3 linked regions of the Drosophila melanogaster genome follow. The gene in region 2 interacts genetically with the main gene of each other region. Each region holds a gene or a part of one and is shown on either strand. Other genes may lie near its edges. The genes, in order: otu, Hrb27C and l(1)sc.

Region 1 (8,242 bases), on a different chromosome or scaffold from region 2:
TGACTTACCCGCAACTTTATTCGCAGCAACAAGTGTCGCATATAATAAATACAATAAATCCGAAACGCAGGCTGTCATTACACACATCGTTTGGTTGTCCTTCCCCATTGTTGTGCGTTATGCCAATGGCATCCCACGCAATTGTTCAATAACAAACGGGCGGCAAAATCGGCTATAATGATAGGTAAGGCAAAGAAGAGCTCGGCTGATGACAGGTGGAATCGCAATTTAGGTCGCCCAGTGCCGCCCATTTGGCAGTTTGAAAATTCAGCATAAAAATGCGATACCTTTGCACAGAGATTTCAGTCTGTAAGCAGAAATAAATTGAGAGCATTAATAAAATAACCAACTAAACAGAATTATTAAAGCGAGCCAAAACAAATCGGTTTCAAGTTCAAATATTTTTTTTTGCGAACACTTTTCGGTGATAAAAAAAAAAAAAACAAAACCAAATAACCAACAACAGAGGCGAAATGAGTCACTTATGCTTCCTTGTAATGGGTTTGTGTTTCGCAATAATCGCCTACTGTTCTGGACAAGTTAGTATTGTTTTAACAATGACTGATATGTTAACCATAGAATAACAACAAATAATACCTATAACAAATTTTGTCCAGGGTATCACAGAAAGTCCTTATAACCGAAATTGTTACAGAGACATATATTGCTTATTGGCCGATTCAAATTAAACAAACCATACAGGTACGTTGGTGAATTGAAATATTAAACTTATGTACAAAGATTTCTGTGATACCATCGTATTATTAGCTTCCAAGTTCTTTAGTACTTTAGCATATTTTGTAATTTTTGTTTAAGATACTTATTTTCATAATTTATTCCAACTAGCCCTTATCTAAACGGACAACGGAAACCAGTATGGAGGCGTTGCACTCCTTAACTCAACTTATCTTCAGCATTCTGGATGGTTTTAACATGGGTTAGTTTTAGCAGGATAATGTTGACAGCTCAAAACATTTTCAATGTACTACATACTAAAGTAATCGTGATTGATTGAACTAATGAACCTTATAAATTTTCTAATATCTAATTTTCTTAGTTGTAAATACTTTTTGTTGTTTTTTTTTTCTTAGTTAGTATGCACTAATTTGATGTAATATGCTACAATATAAACCCATGCATTAAAAAACTATCTGCTTATCAAAAATAACAGCGTTTTCTAAAACTAACATAGACAAACAAATTATGACACAAATAAAGACAGTACATACAATAATAACAAACTTTTACAATGAAACTAAAGGATTACATCAGAGTTCTTTATCGTTTCGAAGATCAGCGTCGATGTGATGTGACGAGGTGAATCAAAGTAATCCAAGCCAATCCACACCTTTTGTTTGCTATCTGAAATCGCGCCGAAACACGAGAATACCACGTAATTGCAGCACCTGCAAAAGTCTTTTGTACATTTTGTCTCTTGCGCTGCAGTTGAATCTTGTTTTATTTATGGTTAATTTTTGATGGTACACTTTACATAGGTGAGTCTCTAGCCGAACAGCGAGCACATAAATATATATATATATATATATGTATATATATAGTAGATAGTATGTAGATATTTTTGGTTAGAAGGGTTTTAAATAAATCATATAAATAGGTGGTTCTTTGATTTCGTGACGGCTAACTTTAAAAAAATTCGCATAAAATTACGTTAAATTACATTTTTAAAATGAAGTTGGGTTGACATTTGCGTTAGGTTATGCAATCGATTGTTGTACAGAAGCTGAATGGTTTATGATAGAGCGCCAACGCTTATGGCCTATAAAAAGTTAACTACAAATTTAAAAGTGAGATTAAATTTTAAAAGCCGTTAATTGCAATGGAATGTAATGCCTTCGATCTGTATGGCCTCTCTCTTTCAAGTGATCTGTTTTTTGCCCCCGCTCCCTTTTTTTTTTCTTTCTTTGTTTAGTGATGACGCGTTGCAGCATAGACAGCTGCCGGCTGAGATTGGACAGATAAGGGAGCTGGTTGCAAGGTGGCTGGCTGCTGTTGTTGTGGCTGAGCCGACGGGTCCATGTTATAGTTGTTGATCACCTCATAGGGGGACACCACCGGAGCTGGCATGCCCCAGGCGTAGGGAGTCTAAAAATGGTCGAGTGTCGATTGCCTATAGAATATTTTGAATTTGTTAGTGCATGTATCACTCCTACCTGTCCTTGAGCTGCTCCCCCTAGCTGTGGTGGTCCCGCCTTGTGGTAGAATATCGGTGGCGGTGGCGGCGGTTGGAGCAACCTCGGCGGTGTTATCAGGTGATGATGCGGCGATGGAGTAGTATAGAAACTAAACTGACTGCCATTCGAGCTTGGCGATGGCGTTGGAGTGGGCAAAAATGCCGCTGGCCCCAGCGAATCCTTAATATCTTGCAGCTGCTCCGGACGTTTGCCGCGCACCTTAACCGAATTCAAATTGCGCTTGGCGTAGGCACTTTTCTCAAGCGGTGACTGCTCTGTGGCATTTGCCACCTCTGGCGAAGGTGGTGGTGTTGACTCCACGGCAGTCAAATTGTCCTCTGTGGCGCCAATGACTACAGTCCGTCCTGCCTGTTGATCAGTGTTGTTCTGCTGATGGTATCCAAACATTCCTAGTTCATCAGGCGGCGTGTGGTGCGACATGCGCCAATGCAAATCCACGCCCATGTTGTAGAAGTATCTCAAAGTCACCATATCCACGGGCAAATCTTCACCGTTTGGGTGTAGAGAACGACGTGGCTCGCCAATTCCGGTAACATTTAGCGGTGGAGAAGGAAGCGGCATAAATGGATGCGGTCCCGATAAAGCAACAGCTCCCGGTGGTGGTGGACCATAACCACCGAATGGCATGTATACACAACCTTCGGTTGGCGGTGGATGCGGGGTTCCTGAAATGGGGAACGGAAACTCCTCGGCAATAGCCATCGGAGATGCAGGCCAAGGTGGCGGTAAATGCCCAGGACGACTCGGTATCATTGGCACGTAATTCATATACTGAGTGGGTGGCGGGGCAGCCGAACCCGAAACCTCCTGGTTTTGGCTGGAACTCGAGTTCTGCGGCTGAACCCTTGATGCCTTCGTGCGCTGGTGTTGCTTCTGTGCCTGCGGTTCTTCACGATCCCGCTGCTCCGTAGTCGGGTTCTGGTCATTTTGTTCAGGATCATTATGATCCCGCTGCTCATCGTCCTGAATGTGCACACCCTGATAGCAATTGTCCACGGGCATGTAGGGCATCAAATCACACTTGCTGTGCTCAAAATACTGGTCCATTTCGAACAGCTTGTTCTTCTTCCATTTGGAAGACTTGTTGGCCTTACCGGCATACTTGGGCAACGGCAAGCGAGGCATCTGGCGATGATAGCGGAATGGCAACGACCATGGGCGGTACTCATCTGGCGGCAGGGGATGGAGCGATTCATACGGGACCTAAGCCAACAGATATGTTTGTATATTAGTAAGCTCTCTATTAAAGCGAAATAGTTACAATTAGCTTCGGATACCGAACATTTTTAGCCCTTGCAGATCAATTATTTTATAGACTTATATACCAGTTCATTGGGCCACAATTAATATACTTTTAACTAAACTTTAACAAATTTAACTAATTGTTAAATATGATAATCGTTTCTAATCGAAATTTTTGCATTTCTCTGCAAGGGTCTAGAAAATCAGATAAAAAGAAGAGGTACCACTATCTCTTTGCCAATCCTCTCAACAAAGACGTGGCAGTAATTCTTATCTTTGGAGATATTTTGAACGTGGCACGTGTACATCTCCGTTTCGTTCGGCAATTCCACCTTGCACTTGGCGCCCACCTGGAAAACAAATAACACGGCGACGAGACGAGGAAGGATAAGGCAAGACATACATGTATAGTAAAGTATAAGGTGTATCCAGTGTATAGATGAAAATGAAAGGGTGTTAATTTGGATGGGTGGTTGACATGAAACGTGTGTTGGTGTGCGTGTGTATGTGTGCTAACGATAATCCAATGTTCTGCACAGTTTACCTTAAAGTTATAGTCATTTATGTAGACATTATAAAGCTTGGCCTCCTTGCGCATATCGTTCCAGCAATCAAATTCTATATTACGATACATATAGGGGTCCATGGACTTGGCCACTTTGTAGGGAAACGGAGAGATACCTAAAAAGAGAGTATTATGTAAGCATTTGATGTTTGAAACCACCTCTACTGACCATCATCTAGCAGCTGGCGGACACAGGACTCCAATCGGTTTGGACACATGGGCAACAGATCGTTTGGTTCGTGGCCACTGCTGCCGGATGCCTTTCGCTCCTCCTGGTTTTTAATCTCCAGCCGGCCTCCCTTTCGAGCATTAATGCTCTGATTTCCATTGGTGCTATGGAAATTGCACAGCTTATAGTTTTCCAGTATGCAGTTTGTGTCCCCTGGCAGATCAAGCTTAAAAACTCGTCCATCGGTGCAATGAATGCGAACCATATAGCCCTTGTCATCGAACTCCACATTGAAGCGATCCCAATTGAAGGTGTGTGGATGCAACATAATCTCCACAGCAAAGGATACGTCAGGCAATTTGAAAAGCTTCTGGTACAGCAACTTAAAGGCGATTGCTGAAAGCAACGTACATATACAAAAAGCAAAATTGGATATATTAATAGGCTACGTACATTGACAAATGGCGGCTCTTTCTATATATTCAACGTCATAAACCGAATCAAAGTGATTCTCATTGTTGAAGAAGACACGGAAGTTTTCCGCATAGCGACGATTAAAAACGACGCTGGTGCCCATGTTGTAGGGCTCATACAGGATAACATTGCGGCTGGAAGTCGTACAGAAATCATATATATTTGTAGAATTTAATAGAAAATAGTAACTAAGGATTAATTACCGATATAGGCAGGACATAGCGCGTAGTTCTGTCATGGTTCCATATGTCTTGGGCTTGGACATGTCCTGCATGTAGCTATCGAAATCGCCAGGAATTTCCTGGGATATAAATAAAATTATTTCTTTTTTTTTTACAAAATGTGTGATTGTTAGAGGCCTACCTTCTCAAAGATGCGTCGTTTTAGGGTCATGAAGCGGACGCACTCTAGCCGAATCTCGTAGTGCAGCATCTGGGTGTCGTACATCTGCTCGGCGATCACACGGAACAAACTGGAGGCGTCCCGGGCCGTGTGCTTACGGTAGAGTCCACGGCTCTCCAGATACTGATCATACGGATCCGGGGCCTGCCGGCTGCCTGACGTAATGGGGCGCTGCACTTGCATGTCCATGGCGACTCTGGAATCGAGAAACTTAAATTTTATTCATTTCATTTTTTTTTTGTCATGTTTTCCCTTTGAAATACAAGTATTGCACAATTAACAGTTAGAAGAGGGCCCTGACCTCGATCTATTTGACCTTCACAATCACTTTTCAACTGCTATCTATTGTCGTTTCACTAAGAAGTGCGCATACTAAGCTTTATTACTTATTTTATGTTAACTATTGTATAGTTTTTTTAACTTTAATAGTTTTAAAGCAAATTTGCTGCAATACAAATATATTCCAATTATTAACCGACTCCATACAAGCCGGGCTTCAGAGCGAGATGACAATATGCACCTGCGAATTCAAGATGGCGCAGTAGAAAGGCAAATGAAGCAAAAGAGCAAAATTAAATGTGATGAAGCTGATGAAAATTAAATATTTGTTTAAAATTTAATGATTTAAAAGCCTCTCATGCTGCGCTTAATTAGTTAATTTCGTCACTTGACAAATTACCGTTACTATAAATGTTTCAACTAATACAGTTAAAATCGAATCGAGATATTACCGGTGTTCTGCTGTTCGTCTTCTGTTGTACAAATTCTATTTTTATAAATAGTTAACAATTAAATTAACAATTAAAAATAACACTGGCATCCGCACCTAGCACCGTTACACGAAGAATTGAAGCGAATGGCGCGATCTAGCCTTTCAGAGAACCCGCGAACTAGAATGCGAACGAAAAGTATAAGAACGAACTTCCAGTGCCTGGAAGGATGCCGACAAACGAAATTGGGCAATAGTGATGTGCGGAAATGAATCAATGGAGTTGGTTCGTGATTTTATCAACAAAATAAATATATCTGATCTTGTTGAATACTTTCTAAATGAAATACACAAGTGTATGATATACTTGAAATATATTGCTGAGCGGTTAAAAAACTCCTGTTATCGCCGTCTATCGATGACACCGATAGCGGCATCATCTGTTCCGTGTCATCCCCAAAAGTTTCTGTTACCTTCAAATTGTTCTTGTTACTGTCGTTGCTGTTGTTGCTGGCCCGCTTTTTAGGGGGTGGAAAATGCCGCTTTCCACACGGCGCACTGTTGTTCTTGTTCATCAGACTCAGTTCGAAATTGCGAGTCAATGAAGCCAGGAGCAAACTTTCAGTTCGCGCTGTTACCGCGACAAAAGTTGTCTGGAAGAGATGTGAGTGTGTGACTGTGTGTGCCTTTTGTTTTCCTGTTTTTTTTTTGTGTTTTTTGTGTTCTCGTGTAAAGTTATGTTTTTGTTTATTGTTAGTAAATGTCGTTAGTTGGTTATCTTGCGAGTGTGCAAAACGCAACGACTATGAATTCTATTTCCTCTCGGTGTTTCATCAACTTTACGCCATGTTCATCTGTTTCGTTTTCCTCCTCCTTCCATCGAATAATAATAACAAAGAGTTTTACATATGAAAATCACAGTCATTAACAAAAACAACACACGTGGACTCAACCACACACAACAATGGACATTTGTACATGCGATACACACATGCAAATAAACAACGTTATGAAATTGGAAGGAGTGCACAAAAGGAAGAAGTAGAAATGTGCGGTTATTTCATATCCAAGCAATGCCGTAAAAATCAATAGGAGCGACAAACAAAGCACGTGCTTGTGCGAGTGCGATGGCAAATCGATAAACCGTTAATCAAGTTTGTTGAACGCGTGTTCGCCCCGTCTCTCTCTCGCCTTGTTTGCGCCACCTCTCTTTCCCACACACGGCCCAACGAAATAATATTTCTTTGATTCCTTTTCGTTAATTCCACGATTTTCGATTAACTGGGTCAAATGGTGACATAGATATGATGTTCTTTTTTTTTGGGTGGTATTTCATTTTCCAGGTGCCGAGGTCAATGTCACGGACATTTCTGCAATGCCGTCTGCTGACCTTCGAACTTTGGTTCGTTTTTGTCAGCAATTAATTGATTAAATGATTCGGCCAATATATTGTCGGTCGTCTTATCAATATACCGATTATACAACTATCCTGTTCCCGCAACTATCTTATCACCAAAAACAAAATAAAGAAAATACAAAAATATAGGTCTCTTGAACCGGACTCGTCGGGCTCCCAGATAAGTGCTCCATTAGCTCCATCTCGCTTGCTCGCGGTTCTTGACATGTGTCCCTCAAACACGAATTAACGACTTAAACTCTTCATGTGATAAAAATCGACGTTCCTGTTTTCGAAAAACCATCACTTTGTTTTCCAAAATATAAAGGTCTTTAAAGCTTTATATCTGATATTGCATGGTATTTTATAACATCTAAATGTTGTTTTTATAAGTGGTTTCAAAATCTTGTGCTGTGTGATAATATTATATTAACGTAATTTCACAAATATGCGAAATGAAATGTTTGATGGTGTAGAAATACAAACAATACCAACCATCTTTGAAATAGCACAGTGAGTTTCTGAATTTGGGAACATCTCGAAAGTTGTCTTCTCTGCTTTTGTTGTTTTTTTTTTCTGATGCGATTGTTTGCCGGTCGGCGGCTAAGAATTTCCGTTTGCTGCTTTTAGTTGCCTTCGAACATTTTAGCTCGTCGCGTCTTTGCTGAAATAAAAAGGGGAAGTAAGAGGTAAAGCATACAGTCCAAACAAAACAAAGAGAATTTCGCTTGCCAAGAGAATCCGAAGCAACATTTGCCAAATAAAAAAGTGAATTGTGCATGAGAAATATCTTCTTTTTTTTTGTTTGGCTGCCACGAACCGGTTATTTTATTAGCTTCACTCTAGCGAACCGCACACAGTCGTGGACGCAACTATTAGGAACACCCATCTGTCTGCGAAGTGCCTGGTTTGCAAAGCGCAAATATATTAATAGGGCAGTAATACACAGTTCGTTGTTGTTCTTTTATAAATAGCTTGACAAATTCAGTATCGAAAAATCTTTCAAGTGATTTCATTAAAAATATCAGGGTGCTCGAACCCTACAGTGTAATGCTGCCTTAACAACAAAATT
Region 2 (6,067 bases):
TATTTCCAATATGTTTTGTTACAAATAGCACTCTTGTATTATATGAAACAAAGTTTAGTAAATCGAAAAAAATTATGAATATTCCATATTCACAATTTATAGTTTTGCAAGACTAGATGCTTCGCAGAAATAGGTAATTATGTTTTGTAAGTATAGCACAACTTTCCAGCGATCACATACCTGCTTGCCATTCAGATTGATGTACCGCTCGTTGGTCACGTGCTCAACGGAGGACTCCTCCTCGAAGGAGAGAAAGCCGAAGCCGCGGGACTTCTTCTTCTCCTGGTCGTACATGATAACCACCTCGGTGACCTTGCCGTAGCGGTTAAAGAAGGTCCGCAGATCGGTCTCGGTGACGTTCGAGGGCAGGCCACCCAGGAAGACCTTGTAGCCGCCGCCCTTCTTCGGTTTCTGCAGAGTGCGCGGATTGCACGGCTTGGGGTCGATGGTGCGACCGTCGAGCGTGTGCGGTCCGTTCTGCAGCACGTGGTTGACGTTGGTGGGATCGGCGAAGGTAACGAAGCCAAAGCCGCGCGACCTGCCGCTCTCGTTGTTCTTCATCACCACACAGTCAATGATGTCCCCGAAGCGGCAGAAGTAGCGCGACAGGTTCTCCTGCGTCGTCTCCCAGGATAGACCGCCCACAAAAAGTTTGCCCCTCTCGTCTTCCTCCATGATGTTGTTTTGGTTGTGGTTGTGAGCTATGGCGCCGGGTAGGTTCTCAATAATTGACGTAATCTTGCCGCTTTTTTATTAACACGGGGTGCAAAGAAATTAACTTGTGTTCGGTTGGTTGCCTGTTTTGGGGGAGAATATACAATTTTTACACTGCTGCTGGTATTTTTTTTTTGTGTTTTTTTTTATGTATTTATGTTTGTATGTATTTTATGTATGGGTTGTCCAAAAAGTAATTGCGGATTTTGTAAATGAAAGTAAATGCATTTTTAATAAAACTTCGAATGAACTTTAATCAAATATATTGTTCGATAATCTTTTGCCATCTTTCTGGCGAACATCCGAATTAATCGTTTGGTTCCTTGGAAGCAGCTAAAAATATACGACACCCTTCCAATACCACCAAACAGACAGCATAACCTTCTTTTGGTGGATATCAGCCATTGAAGTGAAACGGATCGAATTCATTGCGTTTAAGGTGCTTATCACAAGCGTTGATTCGGTGTGTTAAATGAATTTCTTTCAATACATGTGGTACCCAAATATCAAGCTTTTTCACCAGTCCAAGACTTTTTATAATGAACGGTTGATTTTTGGTATATTTAACTTCTCTCCTATCTCACGCTCAAGTTACATGACGATCTAATTCGATAAATAATAATGCTTTGATTTGGTCATCATCAACTTCATTTGGCCTGAACGTGGCTCATCTCTAAGTGAAAAATCTCCAGAACGGAATTTGCGAAACCAATTTTGACACTGTCTTCCTTTTAAGGCTTCATCACCATACCATCGTATCTCTCGTAACTTTCTAGCAACCTTCTCCGCGTTTTTTCCTTTACGGAAATAATAAAGTAAGATATGACGAAAATGCTCCTTTGTGGGCTCCATATTAAAATTGACGCCAAACAAACAAATAAAAACAAAATTTCGCGCACTTTTTTTTCTAATGGAAGCTAAAAGTAACAGCTGATAACTGACCAAAGAAAGAATGCAATTACAGAGTTACAAGCCGTTGAAAAAATTTGTCAACGCCGACTATATGAAAAATCCGCAATTACTTTTGGGCAATATCTTACTTTTTGGGCAATATCTTAGGTTGGTTTCAACGTTGCCAAAGTTCTTTTTTCCTTCAAAACAATTAAACAAAAGCCACGACGTTCACACGTAACTTTCTATCGTAACAATATCGATGTCGTCGGTTTGTTTTTGTTGCAGGCACATGGAAAGATACACATAGAATATAAGAAATCCGGTTAATCGAATTGCTACACAGGAAAAAACAAGGTGGAATAGTTAATTTGGTTATTTGCAAACTGACGTTATTAAAATTAAAGGCCAGGGCTATGGTTGAAATTTTTTTAAATTTACATTTCCTTCGGAGACAATATTTCTTGCTGTGTAAAGATCTTTGGTGCGAATGGGTAGAAATGGTCAGATGACAAAAAATTCACGCATAGTTATTATGAAAGGCACAGGTAGGAACAAAAAAAAAAAAGAGAAAAAAGCGGCAGAAGCAACCGGCCGGTACACATACACACAAACACACGCAGCTGAAGAGATTCCGCCGTACACGTGTATGTGTGTTTGTCGTCTAACTGCTTTTTGTACACGTTCACAAGTTTGCTCCTCCTTCGACACCCCAACACTACTCTCATCCCCTTTCACTCGTTTTTGAACGGCTACGTGAAAGTATTGTTTTCTTTTCGCTGTGTCACGAGCGGAATGGTTGTTGTTGTTGTTGTTGTAACAAATCCCCAGCCTCACTCACACACCAGCACACATGCCGCCTATCAATGAGAACAACGAACTTATGTATTTCCAAGGTGAAAAGAGAGCTGTCGCCGGTTCACCACATTTGCGCGCCATTTGCCAGGGTATTACAGATTACAGCCAGATGTGGGCCAAGTAAACATCTACAGGAGTATATTTAAATTTTTGTGCAAACGCCAATGAACAACGGGTTTAAATTCACTTTGTTATCAAGAAAATCCCGTTTTCTTTACTGGCAGCACTTCGCAGACATTTTGCCCATTAACAAGTGAAAAAACATGTGGCAACGCCATGTGTGACGTGAACGCGAATGGAAAGCGAAAAGCAAACGTACCAAAAACCAATGCCCTCAAAATAAATGTTAATTCCATCGAAAGAAAAAACAAACAATTCTTTTTCGAGTTTTCCTCCAGCTTTAAACGATTAATGTTTTATTGTTGTTGCTGGCTGAGTACTCACGACTGAACTGAATGAATCGCACTGGCAGTGTGTGGGAAATTCACCACGGCAAAGGCAACGAAGAAAAAAAAACAAAATGGAAGACGTGCCTTATGAAAAATGATACAACAAAGAAGTCTCAAGAAATGTCTTGGGTCTCAGTTCTTAGAAAAGGGAACAAACGCATTTCACTGTATTTTTACGCTTTTCGTTTTGTTTGGCCAGCCAGGCGGTTTAATCGATGGGGCACTCACTAATTCACGAATGCACTTTCACGCCGGGTACACTTTTGACACTTGGGCTTTCGGGCCGGAGAAATAGGAGCGAAATTAACCAAGATTTCTAATACGCAATTTTACGAATTTCGCACGATTTTTGTATTTTGCACCGCAATCTGCTGGCGTGTGTGAGTGCATGAGTTGGCCGTACGTGTGTGCGCGTGAGAGCGTGTGTGTGCGCGAATGGCCGCCGAGCGCTGTGCAATGGTGTGCGTGATCGTTGGTGTGGTGTTATACATAGCATTTTTTCGTATGTATGTATAAAAATATGAAATTTTCCACTTTGATGGGTGGAAATAGAGTGCCGAAAGTGGCACGAAAAATCGCTGAAAATTGCACAAACCTCTGTTTGTCGAGAAATCCGAAAAGGCGAAGAAACGATTCGAACGAATCGAGCCAATTTTACCCCACACACAAACACACGCGCACACCGAGCAATGGCAGCTGCGTCAAGTATTCAGGCGTTTTTTTTGGAAAGGAAAGGCTAGGCAGGCATTTTGTTAAAGCACTGTAATTGTTATGTAAATGCGATTTTCGGTCGCTTTTCGTTCTTACCGTTTGTGCCAAGTGTTCGTCTGTGGTTTTTTAAAGATTTCGCACTGCAAATTCACTAAATTTAAGTGTTTTTTCCTTAAAAAACTAGCTTATAAATAATTGTATGATTTTGATGCATACGATATTATAACCTAACTTATATGATAAATCGCCGCCACGTTTAATGCTGTGTGACCGCCGCCAGCCAAAAAAAATACCTCAAGTTGCACGGAATATACTAAAACATACTCCACATATATTCTGAATCTAACAGATACTAGAAAACAAATTTAAATTACGAATTTATATCTATCTTTTAACACGAAGGCTAAATATAAAGGAAGTTAAAGGGGACTGGTTAAAAAAATGTATTATAAATTATTTACATTAAAATGTAATTGTGCAGTACAATAATATCTTAAAGGTGAAAAATGTAATAAGATGTGTGTATATGATTTGTATGTACTATACTAAAAAAGGTTTTATAGTCGCTTTCTTTAGGCGGATGGAATGTTTTGAAAGGAAAAAATAATTTTGAGTATTTTTTTCGTAGGAGTTGAAAAGGAAATATTTAGATTTTCATTTTTCGGCCCTGGAAGTTATTGTTGCCAGACACTCCCGCCTTTTGCTGACCGTTACCCGCGGATTGAGCATAACTTTTGGTATATTTTTAGCGAGTCCGCAGTTTCTTTTAATGGTCTGTCCACGGTCACTCTGTTTGCTACCCGGTAAAATGAGTTTTGCGCTGCATTAAATAGAAAATAAACACAAAAATTCGCATCTGCCGACCGTGTTAAGTGACTAAAAGTGTTCGCCAGTGCGCGATTGACCGACCAAAGTGCCCAGGAAGGCGGTGGCAAGTGATTCCAACCCATCATCGATTTTTTTCTGCGCTGCTGCCACATTAATTTGGGCCCGGGGAAAAGCGAAATAAACAGAAATGTCGCGCCATCCGAGCGATAGAAAGGTGTACGTGGGCGATCTGGGCAACAATGCCCGGAAGAACGACCTGGAGTATGTATTTGGAGCGTACGGCAGTTTGCGCAGCGTCTGGATAGCCCGCAATCCGCCGGGCTTCGCCTTCGTGGAGTTTGAGAGTGCCCGCGATGCGGCGGATGCGGTGCGCGGATTGGACGGACGGACGGTTTGCGGGCGCCGAGCCCGTGTGGAATTGTCCACCGGAAAGTATGCTAGGTCCGGCGGTGGTGGTGGCGGAGGTGGTGGAGGCGGTGGTGGTGGAGGACTCGGAGGACGCGACCGAGGCGGCGGTGGTCGTGGGGACGATAAGTGCTACGAGTGCGGCGGACGGGGGCATTTCGCTCGCCACTGTCGCGAAAGGAAGGCCAGGCAGCGACGCAGGTAAGCGCAATTCGCATTTGCAATTCGCCATTTCAATTTTTCATTCATTGTCGTTGCCAAAAACTTCTTGCTTTTTGTAACATGGCGAGAGAAAGGCATACATACAAACAAACGCATACATACATACATGCATGCTTGTGTGTATGCGCATGCAAAAATGTTGAGTTTGTTTGGGCACCTCTGTCGCCTGTTAAAACTAACAGCGTGCTGTTATGCGCAATGAGTGCTGTTAATCCCAGCGCATGAAGTAGTTCTGTACCATAACAGCACGCACACGTGCTCGGGTGGCATACCCATTAATATCGATATGAGAAGTATATAGCTTCTACAATTGTCTAACAAAATCATGCTTGACAACAGTAGTTATCTATTCAGATAGTAATAACAGAATTTTGTTTTTAAGTCTATTATATAGACTATTATAAGTCTAATATATTGTAAAAATGTAAACACTTTCGTGATTAATAAATATATAAAATATATATATTTTATACTCTTGAGCACAAGAATTTGTCCGTAAATTGCACAAAAGCTTACAAATAGTTACGTGACAATGATTTAGCGAAGTCCTCTAATATATTTAATATTGATATTAAAGTTTGATTGATTTGATTAGAAATAGACAAATTAAAATAAGTGGTAAACAAAAGGGTAGCAGGCGGCTGCAAGACACCCTCCTACGCTATTTTCCCCGCGCTTTTACGTTCGTGGTGAATTAATTACAGTGGTGCTGTTATGCGCGAACCAAGTGGCAACGCCGTAGACCGAAGGCACACGTGCTTGCACTTCATTTTGGATTTTTCTTTTACACGCGGCATACGGAAAAGAAGGTTAAGTTGCTGCTGGCTGCCGAGAGTTTCGGTGGTTTTAAATTGAATTAAAATTGAAACTAAATGAGCAGAGCGTAACGCGATGTTTGTGCTCTACGAAACGCCGGCGGGCTACGCGATTTTCAAGCTGCTGGACGAAAAGAAACTGGAGCAGGTGGACAATCTGTACCAGGAGTTTGA
Region 3 (4,758 bases), on a different chromosome or scaffold from region 2:
GACTAAAATAAGTTACTTCCTGGGTCTGAGAGGCTTAGGAAACAAATTTATTGCAGAAGTTCAGTGATCCCTGTCATATGAGATTGAACCCAGAGGGAAATTCGAGGATCAGTAAGCGAAAAAGATATCTTTTTGTGCAGTGACCTAACATTGCATGAAAATCGGAGTATAGCCTGTTAAAGGACACTTGTAGCTTAGCCTTGTATTTGGACACCTATATCGGATCCTTATCCTGGCAGGTCCTGAATTCACAATCCTGTTTCCGCTTTAAGCTTCTTTTTATATCCGGCAACAATGGACCACAAGAGAGTTTCACTCTACTTCGTCTTGGTCTTGTTTTCTGGATTTATCTTAAGCTGACATCCAATTACATTTGCCATTGTCCTCGTCCACTACCTTCGTTTTTCTCTTCCGTTTTTTTTTTTTTTTTTTTTGAGGAACATCTTTGAGTTTTTGGCGGTATTGCACCGCTTCCTGTTTTATTTAGAGTTCTGTTCTTATCACATCCTCCTTTGGTAAACTCAGTCCAAGTTGAATGCCGTTTCCCTACGCACGTGTCCAGCGCAATTGGCAATTTGCATATTGTATGCTAAATAATGGGTGTGGCATCTCCTGCCTAGATGACATTCCTGCATATTCATTTAATGGCCCTAATATTTCACCCTTGGGGTGGGTTTACTTTCCAATTTTTAGCTACGGGGTTAGCGGAAGTGCATTTCACGGCTCGCCGACGTCGTCCAGCTTGATGAAAAACTTTGTGGCGGTGTGCGCCAGCCACGTGGATTGTGCGAGTCTTCAAGTACTGATCCTTGGACTAGGACAATTTCATCCTCTCAGGCGTGACTGCCTATTTCCGGGCTATTTACGCGCCATTAACAATTCCCGGCCGAATTGTAGCTCGTTAGGGAACCAATCATGAAAATATTCGCTGTTGTTTCCTGTCAGGTGCTTAACTCTATGTTGGTTACGAATTTTGAGTGAGTCATGTCCACGCTCCAAAAGTAATTGAATATAAATAATAAATTGGGTAACTTTTTTGTGAAATTATTATTTCTATCGCTAGTACCATTATTAAGCCTGAGGCCAAAACAGCTAAGCTAAAAAATAATAATAATAATATAAAAATACATAAATTAAAAACGAATATCATAACATATATATAGTCAAAGCAATGCTTCAAAATGCAGATTGTTTAAAAACCTTTTTGGCTCTGATGCTGGTATGAGAACGAGAACTCGTTGTAATTACCCTACATGACGATCTGAATATATTTACGAGTAAGTGATTTCAGTAAAAAACATTTGGAATTAAATTTATCAATATGTTTTTATTTTGGCTTAAAAGTAGTTAGTTTAGTGTCTTCCATGCTTATAACAAACTTATAACTATGAAAAAAATATGTCTTCCATTGCGTTAAAATATAATAAAAAAAAATATGGGGTAACTTAGAGGCTAATGTGAAATTTGAGACTTGGTTTTACACTCACTAAGGCAACAATTTAGGGTATTTACAGTTTGTACAATATTTGTTTGTTTGGGACTTTTAGTAAGACCCCTTCACTGCTCTTGCCAAGATGAAATATAATCGAGTAGCTCCTCGTCATCTGGCTGCTCGTCACTGAAGCTATCAAAGGAGTCGAATTTGAGGTCCTGCTCTTGTAGTTCCTGTTTGATATAGCCACCTCCGGAAATCTCGGATCCGGAGTACGACGGCGTGGGCGAGGCGGAGTGGTACGAGTGGGATTGGGCAGACTGGGTGGCTCCCGTCAAGAACTGTTGCGAACTGTCCAAACTATCGTTGTAATCGTTATAGCTGCTGCCATCGTTGCTACTTTCATCGGCGGAATTGTAGATGTGACGAGTTGATGAAGCAGTGCCATCATCAAGCATGTCCTGTAGTCCTCGAATATATTCAACGGCGATTCGCAGTGTGTCCACCTTGGATAACTTCTTGCTGCTACCACGTCCTCCATTGGACAGCGAGTTTACCACAGTTTGAGGCAAATGCTGGCGGAGATTGACGAATCCATTGTTCACCTGCTTCACGCGATTGCGTTCACGGGCATTTCGTCTGGCTACCGATGGCAATTGCTCGCCATAGGGCATGTTATTGTAGTTGAACTTCTTCTTCTGGGAGGACAACATGGGTCCAACATTGGACTGTTGACTCTGCTGCATATTCTGCAGTTGGCTGGTACCCAAAGGTATTTTCGGAGCAATCAACTGGTGCTGCTGCGTTTGATGGTGATGCTGATGTTGCAGCAAGAAAATGTTACTGTTGGTCAGCTGGTAATGCTGCTGCTGGAATTTGCTGCTGCAAATGCTCGTCATGGTAATCCTTGCGAGAGTTTTCTAAGATTTAGTTTACAGATGTTGACTGTGTGGAATCAGATTCCGCAATGATAATTGCTGTTCTGATCTAGGGCTTTAAATACCCGGCAGTGGCAGAGGGAAACGCGCCGCGACAGAGGCAGCGACTTCGGCAGAGGAGCTACAGGGGTTGGTACGGGGTCGGATCCTGGCTACCTGCCCTCGAAAAACCGGGACCTAAGTCCTTTGCACAAGTGATCGTACATTTTTCCTCTCTTTCTAGGGGTTCTTTTTCTGTGGTGGGTGCCTCTATTCCTACTCAGTCTCTGTGTGCCTACCTACCCATCCTTTTCCCTCTCCCACACACTCTTTGTCCTTTGTGTCCGTCTACATAATGCATTTTTTCCTTTTGGGAAAATTTTAAATCTCAGATCTGCAAGATCCTTGTCATGGCTAAAAAAAAAGATTTTGAATGCACTTCCACTTTTGTCGAATGTCGTTTGCATTGAAAGCGAAAAATAAAGGAGAGTGAGATCTTGGAAGGGAATTTGATATAAAATGTGATCCATCAAATGAAAGAAAATGATGCGAAGGCAAAAGAAACAAACTTAAAAGACCATGTCGTGGGACTTTCACTGTCTTTAAAACTGCGTATCCACTTTTATATCCTGTAATGTTATGAACCTTCATTAATATTTTTTCTGACCCATCTGCATTTGACACGTGCTTCCGATCAGTCCGGTGCATTAGCATAAGCTTCAAAACAATGATACATAACATCGCAGAGCGGCGCAGACAAAATCCCACAAGTGTGTGCTGTATCATGAATACCAAGCGTACTATAATAAGTAAGGGGACGGCCAGACAAATAAAAACGAAACCATCACAAAGGCATTGAATATTGACAGCAGTTGGGATCAAAGTTGCAGTCGAAACACTCTTACCCTTTCATCAAACGCTTGTGATACAAGAAAGCGATCTAAATTTGGGCTGTGCACTCGACAAAAAATGTAATATTTCTGACTGGTTAATATATGTCTTGTATGAACAAACAAAAACTGAATTCAATTAATTTGCATAACTCATTAAATCGTATTAAGGCTACGATGCAATTTAAAATATTTTTTTGGGAAAATATTTTGATAGTGTTGCATTATTGAATAAATATTTTCTTTTAAAGATAATTATTTCGTGGAATACTTCTAAAAATCGAATGGCAGTTTTGATTTTAAAGCATGAAGCATTTGTGTTGCTTTAATATCAAGACATCACTCATAATCAGGTTTAGTTCTAAATTATCAAATTAGTATGTCGAAAAGCATTAAAAAAGGTCTTTAAATGTTATTTGACTAGCAAATTAGTATTTCAAAAAGCTTTAAAAAATGTTATGTCTTTATTTATTTGCTGCTTGCTGTAGGGTTGTGACTTATTATGCCCAGTCCAAGAAAGTAAAGTTATTCCGTTTACCAACAATCCCCCTGCAATTAAATTAAGCATTCATAAATCTGTAAGGAGCTGAATCTGAAACAAATTTCTGGATTCGCAACTTGCAACTTTGTTGCAATGGGAAGGCAATACCGTTACCGAAGACGGATAAGTCGAGTTACGAGATTGCTCCCATAAATGCATAAAATCTTAAAAAAAGCCATAAGCAGCTGCCCTAAAGGAGATCAGAAAATTAGAGGAAATTGATCCCACAAGAATGAACGCTGAAAATCATAATAAAGCAAAAAAAAAAAAAAAAAAAAAACACCATTTACCTAATAATTGGTTTTTAAAAGTTGCTACCGAATTCGTTTTCTAATGCATTTATAATATCTAGAATAAAAATCTTTGCGTCATCACCTTTGTATTTCTCTTGGTTCGAAGCAAACCCTTTTCAAATACTCTTTTAATATGCTCCAAACACACCCACCAAAAAATAGGAAAGTAAAAAAGGTTTTGGTTTCAATTTCATAAGCCTCGGACACCATGCCCTATAATGTTCAGTGATTAATTAATCCGCATGAGATCAGAATAGTGTTGATCCCAGTTTCGTTTTTGGGGGACGCAGTAAATATAAAATAGTGAACAACTGGCCAGGGTTGTCAGGTTCATGGTTTCCCAGGTTTCCAATCAGCTAGTGTACCATAAAGTGGCGGTCTCTATATAGTTTCAATCTTCCAATAAGTTGCTGTACAGCGACCTCTATTGTCCAAAGGTTTCTCAAGGGGATTCTAATTAGAAAAGTAGCCGACAAAATGAAGTTGACAAAAACATACATGATAAAAATAATGTTAATTGTTTTTATATGAGGTCTAGTCTATGCTTTTACATGTTCAGTATATGTCACATACAGCAAATGAATATTGTTAAATTATTTATTTGCTGTATTCTTACTAATGTGAAAATGTCCTTTATGTCTTGAAGGGGAGTGTACAAATCTCGTTGACTGTTGACAAAGAAAAT

Evidence for each region.
Region 1: of Hrb27C (region 2) and otu, changing one suppresses a phenotype caused by changing the other (phenotypic suppression), as found in Drosophila melanogaster (one study listed by BioGRID).
Region 3: of Hrb27C (region 2) and l(1)sc, changing one enhances a phenotype caused by changing the other (phenotypic enhancement), as found in Drosophila melanogaster (one study listed by BioGRID).

What each region holds. Positions count from the first base shown.
Region 1 is NC_004354.4:8,483,578-8,491,819, forward strand, and holds otu (ovarian tumor), read right to left. Parts: upstream 5,959-8,242; 5' UTR 5,797-5,958; exon of another isoform or gene 5,771-5,796; intron 5,546-5,770; exon of another isoform or gene 5,367-5,545; intron 5,276-5,366; 5' UTR 5,255-5,275; coding exon 5,027-5,254; intron 4,965-5,026; coding exon 4,867-4,964; intron 4,798-4,866; coding exon 4,643-4,797; intron 4,586-4,642; coding exon 4,190-4,585; intron 4,137-4,189; coding exon 4,000-4,136; intron 3,806-3,999; coding exon 3,680-3,805; intron 3,417-3,679; coding exon 2,172-3,416; intron 2,104-2,171; coding exon 1,927-2,103; 3' UTR 1,431-1,926; downstream 1-1,430. UniProt on the Drosophila melanogaster protein: Catalytic component of a deubiquitinase complex consisting of bam and otu. The complex deubiquitinates K63-linked polyubiquitinated proteins; this antagonizes the ubiquitination activity of Traf6 and regulates the IMD immune signaling pathway.
Region 2 is NT_033779.5:6,918,514-6,924,580, reverse strand, and holds the start of Hrb27C (heterogeneous nuclear ribonucleoprotein at 27C), read right to left. Parts: upstream 3,878-6,067; 5' UTR 3,720-3,877; intron 3,616-3,719; exon of another isoform or gene 3,508-3,615; intron 3,322-3,507; exon of another isoform or gene 3,141-3,321; intron 2,943-3,140; exon of another isoform or gene 2,783-2,942; intron 1,851-2,782; exon of another isoform or gene 1,847-1,850; 5' UTR 1,755-1,846; intron 798-1,754; 5' UTR 676-797; coding exon 181-675; intron 1-180. Other genes in the region: nop5, read left to right, coding at 5,970-6,067; x16 splicing factor, read left to right, coding at 4,639-5,057. UniProt on the Drosophila melanogaster protein: This protein is a component of ribonucleosomes. Could be needed to organize a concentration gradient of a dorsalizing morphogen (Dm) originating in the germinal vesicle.
Region 3 is NC_004354.4:407,369-412,126, reverse strand, and holds l(1)sc (lethal of scute), read right to left. Parts: upstream 2,407-4,758; 5' UTR 2,332-2,406; coding exon 1,558-2,331; 3' UTR 1,310-1,557; downstream 1-1,309. UniProt on the Drosophila melanogaster protein: AS-C proteins are involved in the determination of the neuronal precursors in the peripheral nervous system and the central nervous system.